5 linked regions of the Ovis aries genome follow. The protein of the gene in region 2 binds, or shares a complex with, the protein of the main gene of each other region. Links are inferred from orthologs where the notes say so. Each region holds a gene or a part of one and is shown on either strand. Other genes may lie near its edges. The genes, in order: GIPC2, MYO6, CLTA, TOM1 and GIPC1.

Region 1 (3,524 bases), on a different chromosome or scaffold from region 2:
TTGGATTCTTTTTTCATAATAGCATTCAGGTTGCACCTCTGGCAGAAATATCACAAATGTAGTGATGTGTTCTTTTCATTATATTTTACTTGGAGGCACAAGACTTCGATTTGTTCTGTTTATGATGTTGATGACTTCTTTAGGTGGTATCTGCTAAGCTTCTCCACTGAAAGTTATCCTCTTCATAATAAGTATTTGGTGAGGATATATTTTGAAGCTATGTAAATATCCTGTTCCTTGTGAATCAACCAACCAACCTTTCATCCATCTGTTTGTCAATCAACCAATCACTTCATTATGGATTCTTGGTTTCCTGTTTTGTTCAATAGGATTATAATCTATGACCATCACTAATTCTGATGCTCAGATTGTCCCTCATTGGGTCAATGGGAATTCTTCCGTTCTGATTTCTGTGTCTTTTCACATGTTCCTACCATTTTTGGGGAGACATTAGTTTCTGGAGGAGATATTCTTGGTTCATATTGTACTTTGCCTACTCCAGCCCTGGAATCAGCCATTTCTCTGAGGAACTCTGATTCTTTTTAGTGGAGAATGATATTTAACAACCAAGATCTGGGTGTTTTGTCTGCTCATTGCTATTGGGATGCCGCTTCTCCCGGGCCCTCCCAGTGGATTGGGGAATGTGTGTGTTCATGTCTTTACCTCTATAGTTTTTCATCTCTTTCTAAAAATACGTATTTCACTGATCTCTACAATTCTAATTTAGCAGGGTTCATTCTAGTTTTCTCCTTTTTCCTGTTAATCTTTCTCTGACAGTGACAAAACTTCTTTCCCATTATTCATTGTTTATATGCTTATGTGATCCATGCCCATGTATATAACCAATCTCTCATCAGTGTGGCTGCTGTCTTCCTCTCCCCTCCCCCATGCTCCCCTTACCACACCTGGACTCCACCCTATAACAGGTTGTCCAGCCAAGAGGAAGCCCTTCTTACTTAATTAGGACTTTGACCCCTGCCCCAGGTCACCCCATCCACATCCCACTTCTGCTCTGATTATGGTGTTCCTCTATGGGCCACATCTCTTTCCTTCCCCCAGCCTACCCGTGTTAGTACTGAAATGTTTGAGATGAAAAACAGTTCTTAAATGTCCTTAAGAGACCTAGTGGATTTTAATTGGAAGGACCAACCTCTTGGCTCATTCATAGAAATCATATAACCTTTGGTTTGTTTAACCTTAACCTGAGGACTGCCCTGGTGGTATAGCAGATAAGAATCTACCTGCCAATGCTGGGGACATGAGGGTGATCTCTGATCTGGAAAGATTCCACGTGCCATGGAGCAACTAAGGCCATGAGCTGTAGCTGCTGAGCTTGCATGCTGCAATTACTGAAACCCGTGTGCCTAGAGTCCGTGCTCTATAACAAGAGAAACCACTGCAATGAGAAGCCTGCTCACCATAATGAAGAGTAGCCCCTGCTAATACAACTAGAGAAAGACTGTGTGCAGCAATGAAGATCCAGCACAACCATATATATATATGTATATATATGTGTGTATATATATATGTATACTTATGTAAATATTAGCCTAGGGGAAAAACTGGGCTTTGGTATTTCCCTTTACCCAGCTGTTTTTCACCCAAGTCCCAAATTGCATCCACACTGTCTCTTCTGGTAGCTAATGCTTTAGAGGAATTACAAAAAGCCAGCTGAGTCCTATGGGATCCCCGCCAGGTGGTGCAGGTCTCATGGGAATGTTTACTCCTGAAGATGCTGGTTTCCCAGACATAAAATATGTCCAGGCAACTCATTAGAAAAACAGAACAAGGGTACCATCTTCACTTTCTAACCCAACCTGGAAATGGACTCAAAAAGAGCTACCTCAGTTCCATGAGTAGACAGATTCCCCCCGCTTCTCTCTAGCTTGATTTCTCCAAACTGTTATTCTTTGTCTTTTTTTCATAGTTGCAGGTGGGGGACTGGCAGACGGGACAGAAAGAGCTAGTTACTATGGGGAAGTGAGGAAGGGAGTACTCTGGGTTTCCTCTCTGGGTTAACCACAGGGTTTTCTTTCAGGAATTGTTGCTCCACCCACAGGAACACCAGAAGTTCCTATCTGATGGACTTCAAGACAGAGGAGAGGTCGGGGTAGCAACTGCAAACCTGGGTGCCAAAGATAGATGGTTTAAAACATCTTTGCTAACTTGATATGTGATGATAGCATGTTATTTTAATTTGTGCTAGAAGTATGTATATATGTATCTGTGTAACTTTTGGAAAATGCTTTTCCTGTTGCCCGTTTTCTCAGCCCTCTGATGCTGTATCATTAATGTATCATTAATGATGTATCATTAATTTTAAAAAATTATTTTTGATAGCTACTACAATGTTTGAAGCTGGAAAGGACAAAGGTAATCCAGATGAATTTGCTGTGGCACTTGATGAAACTCTTGGAGACTTTGCGTTCCCAGATGAATTTGTCTTTGATGTTTGGGGAGTCATTGGTGATGCCAAACAAGAATGATTATGATGTGAATGATCGACTCTGGAAGAATGCACCATTGTTTCTTAAGAAAAAAGTAAGATCTGCCTTCAGACACTGTTATGGACTCTGGCTTGGTTTTATGTGTATGAATACATTCTTCTGAAATATAGTCTTGATTTCTGGGCGCTTTTTAAATGCAGTTGTATATGGAGTATGCTTAAGATAAATTACCTCAAATGTAACCAATTTTAATATTCATTCAAAAGCTTTTTAAAAGTTAGTTTTAGAGAGTATTTCTAGATAGATAATTTTGTTTCCCATTGACAGCCGTGTTTTGTTTTTCACATAAAAGTTGATTGCAATAGCTTTGTAGTTCTTTTGCAAGATCTTAATGTAGTAAAAACTAGGATTGCAGTATAGTTTGCCTCATAGAGTCTTCATTTTGTTATACTAGTTTTAACAGGATGGGTTCAGAACATGAAATGTGAATTATGCCTCCTAGATGTCTGGTAACATTTTTTTTTTTTAAACCTGCTGAGTAAGAGGAGGAAGAGTCCTACAACCTATTAAAGTCTATGGCCTACTTTCTGTCTTTATTAAAACAAGGATTGATGAACTTTTATTTTTTGCTTCTTTGTAATTGCTTTCTTGATTCTTAAACTTGTTGAAATCTATTGTGTTGTAAATGTGTTTGCATGTGTAGAAGAAGGTGAAAAAGAGGAACTATCTTCTAACCTATCATTAGAAAACACTAATATTTAATTTTTTAGCAGTTCTTACAACATTATTTATTTTCCACTCATACCTACTCTTATGTTACCCTTTATAAGCATTCCAGAGAAAGTTTTTTATAGTCTTTGTAGAGCTTTTCTTTTGAAAGATGTTTACTCAGAAAATAGCTGTGTTTGAGGACATTTTTAGGGGGTGGTTAAAGAGCAAAACTTTTAAGTCTCCTAAACTTTTAAGGAGATGCTATCAGAATAGATTTCCTCCAAGTGAAAATGCAGGAGGAAGGGAAAGTTGAGAAAAATATGTTCTATTATTTTGGAGTTCTAATGCACTCTCTCTAAAACCTTA
Region 2 (3,631 bases):
CGCATAACATGAAAACAGAAGTATTCTGTTTAGTCATATTTTTAGCATTTAATTAAAATGAAAAATCTATTTGTATGATTAAATGGTAGAATTAAAGTGATAAAGTATTATCTTTGCAGCATTGATGGCCTGGTTAAGGTGGGCACACTGAAAAAACGGCTCCATAAATTTAATGAAGTAGTAAATGCATTGAAAGATGGAAAACCAGAGATGAATAAACAGGTCAAGGACCTTGAAATTTCTATTGATGCTTTAATGGCCAAAATTAAGGTATGTAGTTTTAACCCAAATCACTTTTGACTTTTAAAAACAGTTTAATATTTTTTGTTACTATATTGAAATTTTATAGAAAAATGTCCTTTTTTAAAAAAAATACAGACTGTTAGATGTGTTGAGTCTCAGTGATAAGTGATAGTCATCTTATTTTCTCTACTCTGTGTTTGAAATTTTTCATAGCAAAAAAATTAAAATGAAGACAATTTTTGTGCAATTCATTTGTTGCTAGGAAAGACTTTTCCAAAATATTAACTAAAATATTATACTTTTGGTAAGCTTTTGCAAAATCATTACTGAGAGAAAATTAATGCAAATTGTTTTATTTTGTTTCATGCTTTTCTACTTTCAGAAACTAATTTTTAAATTTTAAAAGTAATAGTCTCAAAAATTTGGAGAAAATCTGCCCCACTTCTTTACCCCTCACACTAACACATTCACCTATATACTGTTGCATGTTCCTCTCAGTCTTATTTTATATGCACATATTTTTGCACCGTTCTTATAAGGTACATTATATTTCACATTCCTATCATTATGTTATTGCCTCGTCCCTATTATTAAATTATTTTCATGTAGGCTATATCATAAATTACTTAACTTTCACGAAATAACAATTAATTTTCTCCCATATTTTGTAAGAAAAAAAGCGAGAGGGCATCTTTGGTTTTGATTTTTGTTTGATTACTAGTGGGATTGAAAATTTTTTCTTTGTGCTTGTTTGTTGATTTTGTTCATCTATTCGTATCATTTTCTGTAATATTTTAGGGCCTCAATGTTTTTCTCATTGACTTTCATAATTCATTGCAGTTATGTGAAATATAATATCTTAAAGTGAGACTTTTAGATATTTTCTACAGATAATGATAAATCTTGGAGTAAGAATGGAGAAAGAAGTCAAGAGAAAACTGAAAATGCTTTGGATAGCCTTAGCTGATTTTACAGATCTGTCCAGAACCACCCCTGTTTATGTGGTATTAATCAATTAAAATCAACCCAGCCACATTTAAGAAAATCATCCAACAATTTTGGGTATAATGATAATTTCTTAAATATCCCCAATGTATTATTTGATCCTTAATATTAAAGAGTAGTAAATTCTGGCAAAATTAATCATTTCTTAAAAAATAAACTTTAACTACAGTATATTAGTTTGTGCACAGTATACTCTTAAGATACTTGATTACTTGATAGGAAGTAGACTCAAATTTTGTTCATAGAGATAACTTAAAATTTAAGTATTCTTTAATATTTAAGCAATAAAAAGATAGTGGGCCTCCTGCTTACCAGCTTTTTCAGTTTTGCTGTGTCTGTGCATGGTGGTTTGTTTCCTTAATTGTGTGAAACGCATACCATTAAACTTACCACTTTAACCAGGTTTTAAATGTACAGTTCAGTGGTGTTCAGTGTGTTCTAACTGTTGTACAGCAGAAGAGATGACTTTTTAAGTGCACGTCCATTGTGTTCTTTCTTTCAGTCCACGGTGATGACAAGGGAACAAATACAGAAAGAGTATGATGCTCTAGTTCAAAGCTCAGAGGTCCTTCTCAGCGCGCTGCAGAAGAAAAAGCAGCAGGAGGAAGAAGCAGAAAGGCTGAGGCGCATTCAAGAAGAAATGGAAAAAGAAAGAAAAAGACGTGAAGAAGATGAGCAACGTCGAAGGAAGGAGGAGGAGGAAAGGCGGATGTAAGGCATTTATGTTGTTGCCTTGGATTAGAAACTGACGCCATAGTGAACTCTGAAGTGTTGACGGTGGTTAATGAATATTCTTATCTGTAAAAGTGATATTCTTATATTTAAATACTAATTTTAGAAGAAGTTTGAAAATGGAGAAAGTAAGCTCACTTTACAGTAACATAAAATGATTTTAATTATAATCTGAATTTTGGTTAAACTCACACCTGAGGATTTCTTAACTTCTTTTTGAAACTGACTTTCATATTATTTTATGATCTAGGAAGAAAGTACTTTTCTGCAGTTTTAAAACTGATAAAATTTTGGAAGCTTGCCATAGTAGGGCAGACAGAAGGAATATGAGTTGTCTAATTGGAGAGGCAGTGTGATTAAGACCTTACAAGTACGCTTGGTAACCAAGTTAATCCAGAGATGTTAAAGGTTATGGAATATAATTATTTCTTTTGTTTCTAAAGAGCTGCTATCAAAGTTAGATTTTATTTTTCAGAAAATAAGTTAATAATGTAATAGGTTAATTTGACTTCCCATTTTGTAACATTTATTTATTAATAAACTTTCTTCTGAAGAGTTTCTTATTTTCTGTTAATTTTTGAAGAGTTTTCTAATTTTTTTTTTTTTTTTTTTTTTAGGAAACTTGAGATGGAAGCAAAGAGAAAACAAGAAGAAGAAGAAAGAAAGAAAAGAGAAGATGATGAAAAACGTATTCAGGTCTGTACTTTCTAGGCAGTCAGACTGAATTCTTACTAAATAGAATCTGCAAAACTATAAAACAAAAGAAGATCTTCATTTACTAGATAAATTGTCACTGATTTATCCTAGAGAGCAAAGGCAGTTTCAGAAGTGGTTATAGGAAGGGACTTTGGAGCTAGGGAAGTGAGTTCAAATCCAGCCTCTCACTGACAGAAATCGTGATATTGCAGGAGTTACAGTGAGTGACTGTGGGCCACAGTTTTCTTTCTGGAATGGAGATAAATAATAATTGTGAGCATTAAATGAGATAATACCTATTAAAGCATTTAGAACAGTGCCTTGTTTAGTAGGTATTAGTTTGTCATCATTTAGAGGGGGACAGTCAGATCAGCATTCAGTCACAACATAATTATCTAATATTTTTAAATGTTATTTTATAACTTTGTAGATGCTAATATTAATAGGTTAGGATTAAGATACTCTCACTATTGCCACCATCTTTAAAAAAAAAATCCATGTCTGAGAATAATTAATCCTATTTTGAGTGTCTGTCTTGGCTTTCTGATTTATCCTGAACACAACCAATACTTTAAGTTCCTGAAATCTGCAGTGTAGGTGTTGGTATTCAGGTCACACCAAGGCTACTGATGTGATGTTTGGGAGACTCATATTCTAGTGATAGAATGGCGGATTCTTACTTTGGGGCTTGAGGAAACATTAATCATAATATAGAAGGGGAGAAGATGGTAGATTTCTGGGTAAAGAGTATGTATTTCTTAGTTTAAAAAAAAAAAGAAAAAACGTGTATGGAGCAAGTGTGCACAGTGAGGGGATGAGCAGAGAGAGAGGGGCCCGGCGTCAAGGCCTTCTGTGCCGGCAGGCAGAGGTGGAGGCGCAGCTGGCCCGGCAGCGGGAGGAGGAGACCCAGCAGCAGGCGGTTCTGGAGCAGGAGCGCCGGGACCGAGAGCTGGCG
Region 3 (3,631 bases), on a different chromosome or scaffold from region 2:
ACATGTCATTTACCTGGGTCTCAGTTTAATCCTCCAGCTGTGCAATGGGAATAAAAATTTGCCTTGCAAGGTGTTTGGGAGATAAAGGGTTCATGTGGCTGAAACATGGACGGTTCTAATAATAAGTGAATACTACTGTAAATCGTTTGCTTTCCATCTTTGTTTATAGTCTGCTGAGGTTAAGCTGGTAATGTTCCTAGTTCAGTAGGTGCAGTAATTCTCTAAAGATTAAATTCCATTTGAATCTTTATCAACTTGTTTACTAGCTCCCCAATCTTAGCCACTATAAAGAAGAGTCAGCCCCCTACCCACCCGCTCCCTCCTACCCACTGCCACATACACTGATTCACATTTGCCTGCCTTTTTTTCTTTTTCTTGGTATGACTGTACTAACTATGCATTTTCTTTTGGACTCTCTTCCCTAGAATTCACTGTAGTTTGCCTAGGTGGTATACAGTGAACTTTTCCCTGTATTGTATAATAAGCATTTGGAAGTGTCAGGTTCTAGGTCTTACTGTATCATGTATTTACCTTTGTTACTTTGAAGATATTATAGTCTCTTTGTCAAGTAAGGAAAACAAAGTTGATGATACTGTTTTCCTAGTAAGTCCATTACCCACTTCCCCAACTTTGCTTTCTCCCACTCATGTCTCATTTAGTAGCCGGATAACAGCTACTCTGCCTACCTTGTGGGTTGTAAGGCTTGAGTGCATCACGTTGAAAGCTTCCTACCAGCATGTAAGGATGTTGTTGCTCCTTCACATTTAGAGCAGCCATCAGTGTGGCACGTAACCAGGGGTTCTAACTTGGGTGAAGGGCATGTCGGGGAGGAGGTTTTGGAACTGATAGAGCACAACTGTGTTTTCTGTTAAGGAGAGTAATGGGCCGACAGACAGTTACGCAGCTATTTCACAAGTGGATCGATTGCAGTCAGAGCCTGAAAGTATCCGTAAATGGAGAGAAGAGCAGACGGAACGCTTGGAAGCCCTTGGTAAGGAATCCCTTTCTGTCTTCGGGTGTCTGTTTTCAGTGGAATAGTTGACCTTGACTCTACTGTTACCCATTTTTAACATGAATTAGCCGTAATGTCCTTGTCCAGTTTTGGAGAGGGTATGTTTCACAATGAGAAGATCACAACACCACCTACATGGAGATGCTTCATCACAAGCCCAGAGTCACAAGTGCACCCTCCCTTCTCGGAAAGGGCAGAGTGGTGCTGTGGATAGAGTCTTGGAGTGAAAGACTGGGTTCCAGGTCAAACCGTAACTCTTTACTAGCTGCGGGCACTTGGTTGCTCAAACCTTAGAGCCTGTTTCTTCATCTGTGAAGTAAGATCAGTGTTACCAACCCCAAGGGTAGTCTGAGATGGTATATATGAAAGTGCTTCATAAACCTGAAGATGTTATATCCATGCGAGGGACTGCACAGTCCATTGACAATTTGAAGGCTGAATTTAAGGTAATGCTTAAGAGGAAAGTGAGAGGAATGTTAGGAAGTATGTACAGTTGGGTCTTCTCACGCTAACATCCCTGTGAGTTCTTAAGTTTTTATGGGTGAGGAAAAGGAGGATCATAGGAAGAGTAAGTTTTTGAATCACACAGCTAAAAGTGGTAGAGTCAGAATTTCAGCTTAAGTCTGCCCTGCTTCAGAATCCATACCCATCTCTCAGCAGCATTGCACTTAGCTTACAGCATTTTGAGGGCAGGCCAAGCCCAAGGTCAGTGCCAGTCAGCCTGGCCTTTGGTGAAGAGCCTTCTCCATGGAGTGTCAGCTGTTGGTCAAGATTAGGAGAGACTTGGTATCTGTCCATGGGTGTTGAAAAGGTGTGGTGGGGCAGGGGATGTTAACCGTGGAGTACTCTTCTCAACTCTTTATTAAAATTTCAAACATAGAGTGAGAATAAAACGTGCCCCTTCCTTCAGGTTCAGTAGTGAACATTTTGCCATATTTGGCTCTTTATATAAATGAGGTGTGTGTATACGTTCTTATTTTTTGGTATTAAAATATTTATTCGTCTATGGCAGGTTTTAGTTGTGGCACGCAGGCTTAGTTACCCCGCAGCATGTGGATTCTTCCTTCCCCAACCAAGCATGGAACTCATGTCTCTGCATCGAAAGGTGGATTCTTAACCACTGGACCACCAGGGAAATCCTGTATATGTTTTATACACTAATGTGAAAGTGAAGTGAAAGTCGCTCAGTCGTGTCTGACTCTTTGCGACCCAGTGGACTATACAGTCCATGGAATTCTCCAGGCCAGAATACTGGAGTGGGTAGCCTTTCCCTTCTCCAGGGGATCTTCCCAACCCAGGGATCGAACCTAGGTCTCCTGCATTGCAGGCGGATTCTTTACCAGCTGAGCCACCAGGGAAGCCCACTCACATGCCTACACATTTATGTGTATTGTGAATATACACATAATTTTTTTTTCTGATCCATTCAGATACAAACACCAGATACTTTATGCATAAATATTTTATTGTACATCTAGAAATAGCAATATGCGTCTGTAACCACAGTGACAGCATTATTATTCCTTCTTGAGAATGACTGAACTAGTGAAGACATGACTCAGATGGTGTGACTGACACCTAGAAATAGGAAAGGACTTGACCCAGATAATACAGCCAATTAGTGTCTCTCCAGTGTAATTTATGTGGCTTTCCAAACAGCGGGCACACTTAATCTCTCAGCATTATTCAATAGTAGTTTCTTTGATGATGTAAATGTTCCGTATCAGTGCTGTTCTGAATGTAACCACTAGCTGCTTGTGGCTAGTATGACTGAGAAACTGAATTTTAAATTTTATTTAATTTTAATAAATTTAAATAGCCATATGAAGCTAGTAGTCCCTGTACTGGATAGTGTAGTTTTTAAAAGGTGAAGATTGGTCTTCCTGGTGCTAGCAGCCTTGCTCCTTGCTATTCTTTAAATATCTCTTCTGAGTAGACTTTGAGGCAAGACTTGACGTAGCAACTATTATTGCTACTGGAATCTTCTTCGTGTTGCAGAACTCAGATATATCTTTTCTCTTTCCCCAAAGTTTAGCAAAGTTGACTTCTACATGGAGAAGAGTATACTTTGGTGTGTGGAAAAATTTCATTTTCATTTTCAGTTAACAATTTGGGCTCTTTGGGAATATTCCACAAAGTGTTGTTTTCTTAAGATGCCTTCCTGAGGGAAGTCAAATATTTGGCCTCATGTTCCAATGGAATTGAATTAAGTTGGTCCATGAATTAGGTGTTTCTGCAGTTTCACCTTTTTCCCTTGCAAGAACTATGAGAAAGTGCAAGATGCTAAAAATAGATAAGCAGTAGCCATGGTTTTCAGCTTGGCTGTGGGAGGTGTTTTCCAATACTTTGCTGTGAACAGTAATGAGCATGACCAGAGAAGACGGCTGTCCGTGAGCCCTGCTCTGCCTTCTCCCTCCCAGGTAGAAGGAGCTTGTATTTCAGCTGGGATCTTTGCTGCATCAAGCTAAGCATTTAAGAATTCTAAATTCTCATTGCCAGTGCCACTTCTTAAATCTATAAAAGCAAGAAGGTGGTTTACAGGCACTATATTATGCATTAACTATAATCTGTGCAAATAGACACAGTTTTTGACTACTTTTTCAGGGATACATTTCCATA
Region 4 (3,631 bases), on a different chromosome or scaffold from region 2:
CAGCCTCCTGACTGCTCTCCCAGCTTCCAGGCTGAGTCCTCTTAAAATCAAGTTAGATAAATGTCCCCCTGCCAACCTCTGCTCCAGACTGCCCAGGGCTCCCACCTCAGGCAGGAGAAGCCAGTCCTCCCAGTTGCCCCTCAGGCTTCACGTTCCAGCGCCCAGTCCCACCTGTACCTTTGAAGCCCTGGGTTGTGACCAACCCCCTCCTTGGCCCTGCTGTTCACTGGCCTTGCCTCTCCAGCGCCCAGGTCCTGCACGTTGTAACTACCGCTCTCTGCCCAAAAGGCACCCAGAAACAAATTTAAAGGCAAGGGAACTGTCCTTGGAACTCCTGCCAAGGGGGCAAGTGGCTGGTACAGCGTGCTCAGTGTGGCAAGTGGCTTTCATTCCACATATGCCAGCAGTTAAATGGAATACAAGTGGCACCTTTGGGTGCCTCCCTGTGGTTTTAGGGTCTGTCCTCCAGCCCCTCTCTGTCCACATTCCTGCAGATAACAGGGCTCTGGAGGGGCAGAGGGGCTGAATACTAGCTCAGCTCCAAGTCAGTGCTGAGCCCCTCCCATCCACACTCTCACACCTCCTGTCATAAACCAGGGGCACCGCCAGGCAAGCACTGCCCAGCCTTCCTCTGGACAGGCCCCTCTGCTTACCGCTCCAGTGCTCTGCTGCCGGGCATCCAGGGCTCCAGCCAGGCCATCTGTTGCTTGAGGGGCTTCGTATTTTACCCTGAAATACAGAGGCCACTGTGGCCATTACCTGCCACCCTCACCATACCAGACATGCCAGCCGACATGAGGAGGGAAGGGGTTGGGTGGGCAAGGGCTAGACCCACATTCTGTGTGGACTCAGAATGTGCCTGGGCAGGAGCCCCAAGAGGGGCACCAATCTGCAGGCCTGCCTTGAGATGGAGCAAAAGGTCTCCTTTCCTGCCTTTGGGAACCTGGGTCAGACATGTGGCTTGTATGACAGGCAGAGCGAGGCTGGAGAAGCGAGGTGTTGGGGGTCAGAGACCAAGTCCACCGACCTCCTATTCCTGGATTTGGCCACACTACAGGGATGAGCACAGCGTCCCAGACCCCGTGGTCATGGAGAGCTCGTATCTAGACCCTCTCCAGAGCAGCTCCCACAGCGTAATTTCAGAACCTGTGGTTCTGTGAAGGCTGTGTGTGAACGGGGGAACCGCACTCTGCAGCTGAAAACAGACCTGCAGACGGCGGGTGAGGATTCTGCATGCGCTCGGGGTGCCAGCCCCGGCGACTGGGAGGAAACGCGGGGGACACTGTACCCTCCGAGCAGAGGAGGGTGGGGAGGGAGGGATCTGCCGTGTCTCCAGTGAAGGTTCGGGGGAGCGGGAGGAAAGCCCGTGCTAACAAGGGGGCTGGTGTCTCTCTGGCTGCTACAGAGGGGGACATCCAGGGAGGCTTCGGGGACATGGTCCAGCAGCTTGGGAAGAGCTGTCATTCTTGCCCTGAACTGCTGGCAGAGAGGAGGTGAGACTGGGTCAGTCTTTTTTCTTCTGGTGGTCATGTATGATATGTGGGATCTAGTTCCCTGAAAGGGATCGAAACTGTGCCCCCTGCATTGGAAGCATGGAGTCAATCACTGGACCATCAGGAAGTCCCTGGGTCAGCTGTTGAGGTGAAGATGAGAATCTTGGGATTCTAGCCTCAAAGGAAAGCCCTGCGCCATTAGGGAGGAGGGGTCTTCTTCCAGGTGGGGTGGGTGGGGAGCACCTCACACTGCTGGAGCTGGGCTGGACCAGCGCAAGCATAGCACATGTGGCTCTGATAGTGCCAACCTGCCTCCCTGGGGACTGGGTAGGCTGGCAACTTAAAGGGGGCTCTAGAATAAACCCCCAAATTCTCAGGCAGCCTTTCTGAAGAACAGAGATAGCCAGGAGGGCATGGGAATTGGCGAGTTAACCCTGTCACATGGCTCACCACGCAAAGGGGCTGCAGCCAACCAGAAAACTGGGTGTCTCACTCTACCCCTGCCTGACCCTTTACACGAACTGATCCACAGCCTAGCACTGCACAGCAGCGGCCCACAGGCAGGCTACCTCCCAATCCCAAGAGACTGCAGGCTCTGGAGGCAAGCTCGGGGTGTGCTTTTCTCTGGCCTTCAGGGCTCCCCAGAGTAGGGACAGCACAGCTGCAAACCTCAGCCGGGCCACCCTTCTGGCGGCAAGTCCCACCAGACTCATTAGCCTCCAGTCACACAGCAGCCTCACTGCGCCCCTACCTCCAAGGTGACCGTGAGCCACTGGTCCCAGGGCATCTGGGCTTGGGAGCACAAACTCCGCCCCAGACTCAAGGGTTCGGCTCACAGGGCAGGGCTGGCCAGCCAGTGGGTGGGGCTGTGAGCAGCCCTATGAGCCAAGCCGGCTATAGCCTGTCAGGTTTCACTGGGACTGGCCAGAGTGGATGGGGGACCCCTGGGCCCTCTGGAGGCCTATCAACAGCTCCCAAGGAGACCGGAATGGAGTCTGCCAAGAAGTTCCCTTAGTCCAGTGCTTTCCTTGGTTTTACATCCTGGTTACCTGGTACCTGGTACCTGCCCCGGGGTTACAAGCAAAAGGCTGATAACAGCCCTAAGCAAACCCTGTCCCCTGATCAGCCATATGGAGCTGGTCCTGGGAAGCCGGCCTGGTGGACATTTGGCCATGTGGCCTCCACTGCTAAAAGTATCTCCCTGAAAATGGACAGTCCCAGGAAGCATAGAGCCCAAGCTCGAGGGCAGGGCAGGCAGACTCGAGTGGGATAATGCAACTTCCATGGAAATTAAGGCTGGTTGCAGAATAGCAGAAATCACTGGACCAGTCTCTGAGGGCTTGGTACATGATGTACAGTGCAGTGGGGAGCTGGGCTGGGTTGGGACACTGCGTTTTAGAACCAGACAGTCTGGGGTTCCTGACTCTGTCAAACATTAGCTGCCTGAGGTGGGGCAAATGACCAGCCTCTCAGAGTCTCTGTTTCCTCATCTGCTCGGCTTGTGTAAGATTCTGGAACCAAGCTAGTCGTCACCCAATGGGCGTCCCTCCCTCATCCATCCCAGGCCATGTAGGACTGACTCAGGGGGAAAAACTCTGCCATCCTGAGGGGGTGCAGGTAGGGGCTGGTGTGCCCACCCATACACCGAGCTCAGGGACCTGGAGAGAGGCCCTCCCCTGACAGCGGTTGACCCAAACCGCAGGAGCCCAGGGTGGGTTTCAGCACTCACTCTTTGCGTTGGTCAGCCAGTGAGCTGCCCCGCGTCAGTGCAAACATGTCAAACTCATCTTCCAGTCGGCCGGAGGCCTCCAGAGACTGCAGGCCAGCCCTCACGCTGCTGGAGCCCAGGTCTGTGGGGACAAAAAGACCACATGAAGGGTCTGCCTGGCTGTCCTTGGAGTCATGGCTGGGCTGCTTCCTGCCAGGCCCAGGTCGGTTCTGGAGAAGCAGGGCAACTTGGAGTGGGGCAGGGTAGGGCATATGGGTGGGACAGGCCACCTGCTGGCTGAGGGACACCGGGCACCTCACCTCCTCTCTCTCAATTACTTCTGAGCAGGCAGCCGATAACACTTAACAGATCAAGTGACGATGGTGCTGACGGCTGACGTGCACCAGGAGCCCATTCTGGGCCTGGCCTG
Region 5 (2,758 bases), on a different chromosome or scaffold from region 2:
GCCTTCTGGCCCAGACAGCAAAGAATCTGCCTACAATGCAGAAGACTGGGGTTCGATCCCTGGGTCGGCAACCCACTCCAGTATCCCTGCCTGGGGAATTCCATGGGCAGAAGAGCCTGGCAGGATATACAGTCCACGGGGTCGCAACGAGTCAGACAGGACTGAGCGAGTAACGCTTTCACTTTCTGGCCTGGGGGCTCTCCGGGCCACTGGGTCAGAACAGACAAGGGCCCACTGCCTCTTGCCCACTGTTCACATCAGGCCAGAGGGTGGCGGGAAGCTTTGTTCGAAAGGGAGCAAGATTTGCACCCTGAGTAGACGAAGAAGCTCCGGCCTTGCCTGGAAGCCTGGTGGCTTGCAGCCAAGAGCCTCATCAGGCGGACCGGGTGGGAGGGGGCGGGTGGCTGGGGCCAGCTCTTAATTCAATTTGGAGCCCGAAGAGGATGGATTTCAGCTGCTACATTCTTTCCCAGCCCTGACCCACCCTCCTCTCCCACCCCGAAGCCAACACACAGATCCAACAGCAGATAGATTCTTTATGTTCCAGACAGCAAATTCAGGTACAAAAGCCCACCACCATCATCCCTCCCTCCTGCCCCTTCAGTCTGGGGCTGAGCTGAGGGAGACACGAGCGGGGCTGGGGAGGGAGGGAGTTTGGGGGGGTTTCACAGCAGACTAGTGTTTCAAATGCGGAGGTAACAGACTCCACAGTGAGGGGGCTCCTCTGGGGAGATGGGGGGGGGGTGGTGGAAGAGGAGGGCATTATTGCATTTGCTGAGGGGGGGGACACACCCCCCTCCTGCATTCCCTGCATCAGGAAACTAGGGAGGTCACGACCCCCAAACAGAACCCGAGGCCCCAGGGAGATAGGAGGGACCAGTTTGGCAGCTGAGGCGGAAAGTATTGGGGGCAGGGAGGTGGGGGTGGCCACCCAATCTGGCTGGTCCCTCTCCACCGCTGTGCCTGACCCTGGCTGAGGTAGGTGGGGAGGAGGGCGGGGGTGGGGGGCTGGGCGCCCCAGCCAGGCTGGGAACTGGCGAGGGGGTGGTACCGATTGGAGGAGGGGCAGAGGCCCAGCCCCACCTCCGCTCCGCATCATCTCCAGGCTACTGAGCTGGGCCAGAGCCAGACACTGGGGTCCAGGCTACGGTGTCTCCGCCCCAGAGGCTCCCACCGGGCCTGGCCCAAGTCATCTCGAGGTCCAGCGGAAGGCCTAGTAGCGGCCAACCTTGGCGTCCCCGATGGCACCCCAGACGTCAAAGACAAACTCATCCGGGAAGGCGAAGTCACCCAGCCGTTCATCCAGGGCCTCAGCCAGCTCATCCGGGTTCCTTTTGTCCTTTCCGAGCTCCACCATGGTGGCCGCTGGAGGGGGAAGGACAGGGGAGCAGAATGGAGGCACAGATGACAGAGGGGCTCAGGGTAGACTTGGCCCCCCAGGACCTGCAAGCCCCTTTCTCCCACACTCCCACCCATCCCCAGACCCTGATGACCCCCTCCTCACTTACCCAACTCTGTGTCCCTGATGCCCATGTAACTCTCTAACAGGTCATCCACCTTCTCAATGGCCTTCTCCTCAAAGGCTGAAGGCTGGGGGCGGAAAGAGGGAAGACGACATTATAATAATGTGAATATACCTGTAATTATACTGAACGCTGAGTGCAAATTTTTTTTTACACCACTTTTGGTATAGAAACCCACGGTTCTTCCTCATGACAACCCCAAAAGTTTCACAGATTAGGAAACTGAGGTCCACTTGCCTAAGGAAGGTCCCAGAGCTGGGAGGTGGCAGAGGTGGATGGACATCCAGTGCCCAGAGGCCCTCAGCTAAGAGTGATGCTGCCACCTATGAATTTCACAGGAAAGTGGTGGTGGGGGGTGGAGCGGGGAGGGACTTAGGCTCGGCTGGCACACTCACCAGATCCTCTACTGTGGCTGGACCCCGGGATCGGAGCCGGAGGGTCCCTCGGCCAGTACCCAGCTGGGGACCGGAGCCAGGGCGGCCACCCCCTGAACGCACGCTGATCATGTCTGTGGGAGATAGGGGGATGGGGTGAGGACTGGAGAAGCCCAGTTCCAGCATGTTCTGGGCAGAAACCCAGACATCCCGGCCTCAGCCCACCCTCCACCTTCTCCAAGCTTCTGTAGGCTTTGGGGGCACTGGGGGTGGAGGTGACCCCAGGAGGGCAGGTCTCCTGACTCTGGCTTGGCGGGGTGTAGGAGGCACAGCCAGGGGCTAGGATTGGAAAAGGGCTGGGAGGCTGGAGGGGACCACTCCTGTTCCCAGGGCCGGAGGGACAGGAAGGGGATGGGTCCTGGGTCTCTATCTACTTTCCCCAAGGCCAAGGGGGTTTAGCTGCTGGGCAGCAGACCAACCCTATCTGCCTGGGGAAGTGTTTTAGACCAACCCTATCTGCCTGGGGAAGTGTTTTAGAGTCCCCCTCCCCCACGCCAGGGACCTTGAGCCCATTCCGGAGAGTTAATGAAGCTGGACAAAAAAGTAGGGGGCCTGGCACAGGGCAGCCAAGCCTGGCTTCTTGGGGCTAGGGGGTTGGCCAGGTTGGGGGCGCTTGGCTAGGCTAATGGCTCCTGGAAGCTGGGTGTGGGGGCAACTTCCTCCTTGCCTCCATCCTCCACCTGAGCTGGGCAGAGAGCCAACACCCTCTCCCAGCAGAAGGGTGGGGCTGCCCCACCCCCTTTCCCACCCGTTACCACCAGCTGGGCTTGGGCACCACCTGCTGGTGGCCTTTGGTACTGC

Evidence for each region.
Region 1: the proteins of MYO6 (region 2) and GIPC2 are in contact, whole or in part, in a crystal structure (PDB 5V6H), measured with the Mus musculus proteins. The link is inferred for Ovis aries from reciprocal best matches to the Homo sapiens genes MYO6 and GIPC2. Residues at the interface, in NP_001034635.2 of Mus musculus: Ser1055, Lys1056, Trp1057, Lys1058, Tyr1059, Arg1084, Arg1085, Leu1086, Val1088, Tyr1089, Trp1092, Lys1093, Asn1096; in NP_058563.1 of Mus musculus: Glu255, Leu256, Tyr257, Met258, Gly259, Ile260, Asp262, Asp264, Leu265, Thr268, Thr289, Leu290, Asp292, Phe293, Ala294, Pro296.
Region 3: the proteins of MYO6 (region 2) and CLTA are in contact, whole or in part, in an NMR structure (PDB 6E5N), measured with the Homo sapiens proteins. The link is inferred for Ovis aries from reciprocal best matches to the Homo sapiens genes MYO6 and CLTA. Residues at the interface, in NP_001355794.1 of Homo sapiens: Met1053, Thr1054, Pro1055, Met1058, Ala1059, Met1062, Ser1087, Trp1089, Lys1090, Tyr1091, Glu1113, Arg1117, Leu1118, Val1120, Tyr1121, Trp1124, Asn1128; in NP_009027.1 of Homo sapiens: Glu47, Asn48, Glu50, Ala51, Phe52, Ile54, Leu55, Asp56, Gly57, Gly58, Ala59, Pro60, Gly61.
Region 4: the proteins of MYO6 (region 2) and TOM1 are in contact, whole or in part, in a crystal structure (PDB 6J56), measured with the Homo sapiens proteins. The link is inferred for Ovis aries from reciprocal best matches to the Homo sapiens genes MYO6 and TOM1. Residues at the interface, in NP_001355794.1 of Homo sapiens: Ile1182, Phe1184, Trp1202, Gln1214, Glu1216, His1218, Asp1220, Lys1221, Pro1222, Ile1224, Leu1226, Glu1234, Met1235, Cys1236, Leu1238, Glu1242, Thr1243, Gly1244, Leu1245, Arg1247; in NP_005479.1 of Homo sapiens: Ser440, Glu441, Phe443, Phe446, Leu447, Arg450, Ala451, Ala453, Ala454, Asp455, Leu457, Pro458, Asn459, Leu460, Ser461.
Region 5: the proteins of MYO6 (region 2) and GIPC1 are in contact, whole or in part, in a crystal structure (PDB 5V6E), measured with the Mus musculus proteins. The link is inferred for Ovis aries from reciprocal best matches to the Homo sapiens genes MYO6 and GIPC1. Residues at the interface, in NP_001034635.2 of Mus musculus: Ser1055, Lys1056, Trp1057, Lys1058, Tyr1059, Ala1060, Arg1084, Arg1085, Leu1086, Val1088, Tyr1089, Trp1092, Lys1093, Asn1096; in NP_061241.1 of Mus musculus: Glu273, Ser274, Tyr275, Met276, Gly277, Ile278, Arg279, Asp280, Glu282, Leu283, Thr286, Asp310, Phe311, Ala312, Pro314, Glu316.

The regions. Positions count from the first base shown.
Region 1 is NC_056054.1:54,582,774-54,586,297, forward strand, and holds part of GIPC2 (PDZ domain-containing protein GIPC2), read left to right. Parts: intron 1-2,340; coding exon 2,341-2,486; 3' UTR 2,487-3,524.
Region 2 is NC_056061.1:2,723,982-2,727,612, forward strand, and holds part of MYO6 (unconventional myosin-VI), read left to right. Parts: intron 1-119; coding exon 120-270; intron 271-1,750; coding exon 1,751-1,959; intron 1,960-2,597; coding exon 2,598-2,676; intron 2,677-3,538; coding exon 3,539-3,631. UniProt on the Homo sapiens protein: Myosins are actin-based motor molecules with ATPase activity. Unconventional myosins serve in intracellular movements. Myosin 6 is a reverse-direction motor protein that moves towards the minus-end of actin filaments.
Region 3 is NC_056055.1:52,357,399-52,361,029, reverse strand, and holds part of CLTA (clathrin light chain A), read left to right. Parts: intron 1-873; coding exon 874-991; intron 992-3,631. UniProt on the Homo sapiens protein: Clathrin is the major protein of the polyhedral coat of coated pits and vesicles.
Region 4 is NC_056056.1:179,193,138-179,196,768, reverse strand, and holds part of TOM1 (target of Myb1 membrane trafficking protein), read right to left. Parts: intron 3,344-3,631; coding exon 3,223-3,343; intron 730-3,222; coding exon 654-729; intron 1-653.
Region 5 is NC_056058.1:9,615,364-9,618,121, reverse strand, and holds the end of GIPC1 (PDZ domain-containing protein GIPC1), read right to left. Parts: intron 2,032-2,758; coding exon 1,919-2,031; intron 1,591-1,918; coding exon 1,509-1,590; intron 1,366-1,508; coding exon 1,214-1,365; 3' UTR 517-1,213; downstream 1-516. UniProt on the Homo sapiens protein: May be involved in G protein-linked signaling.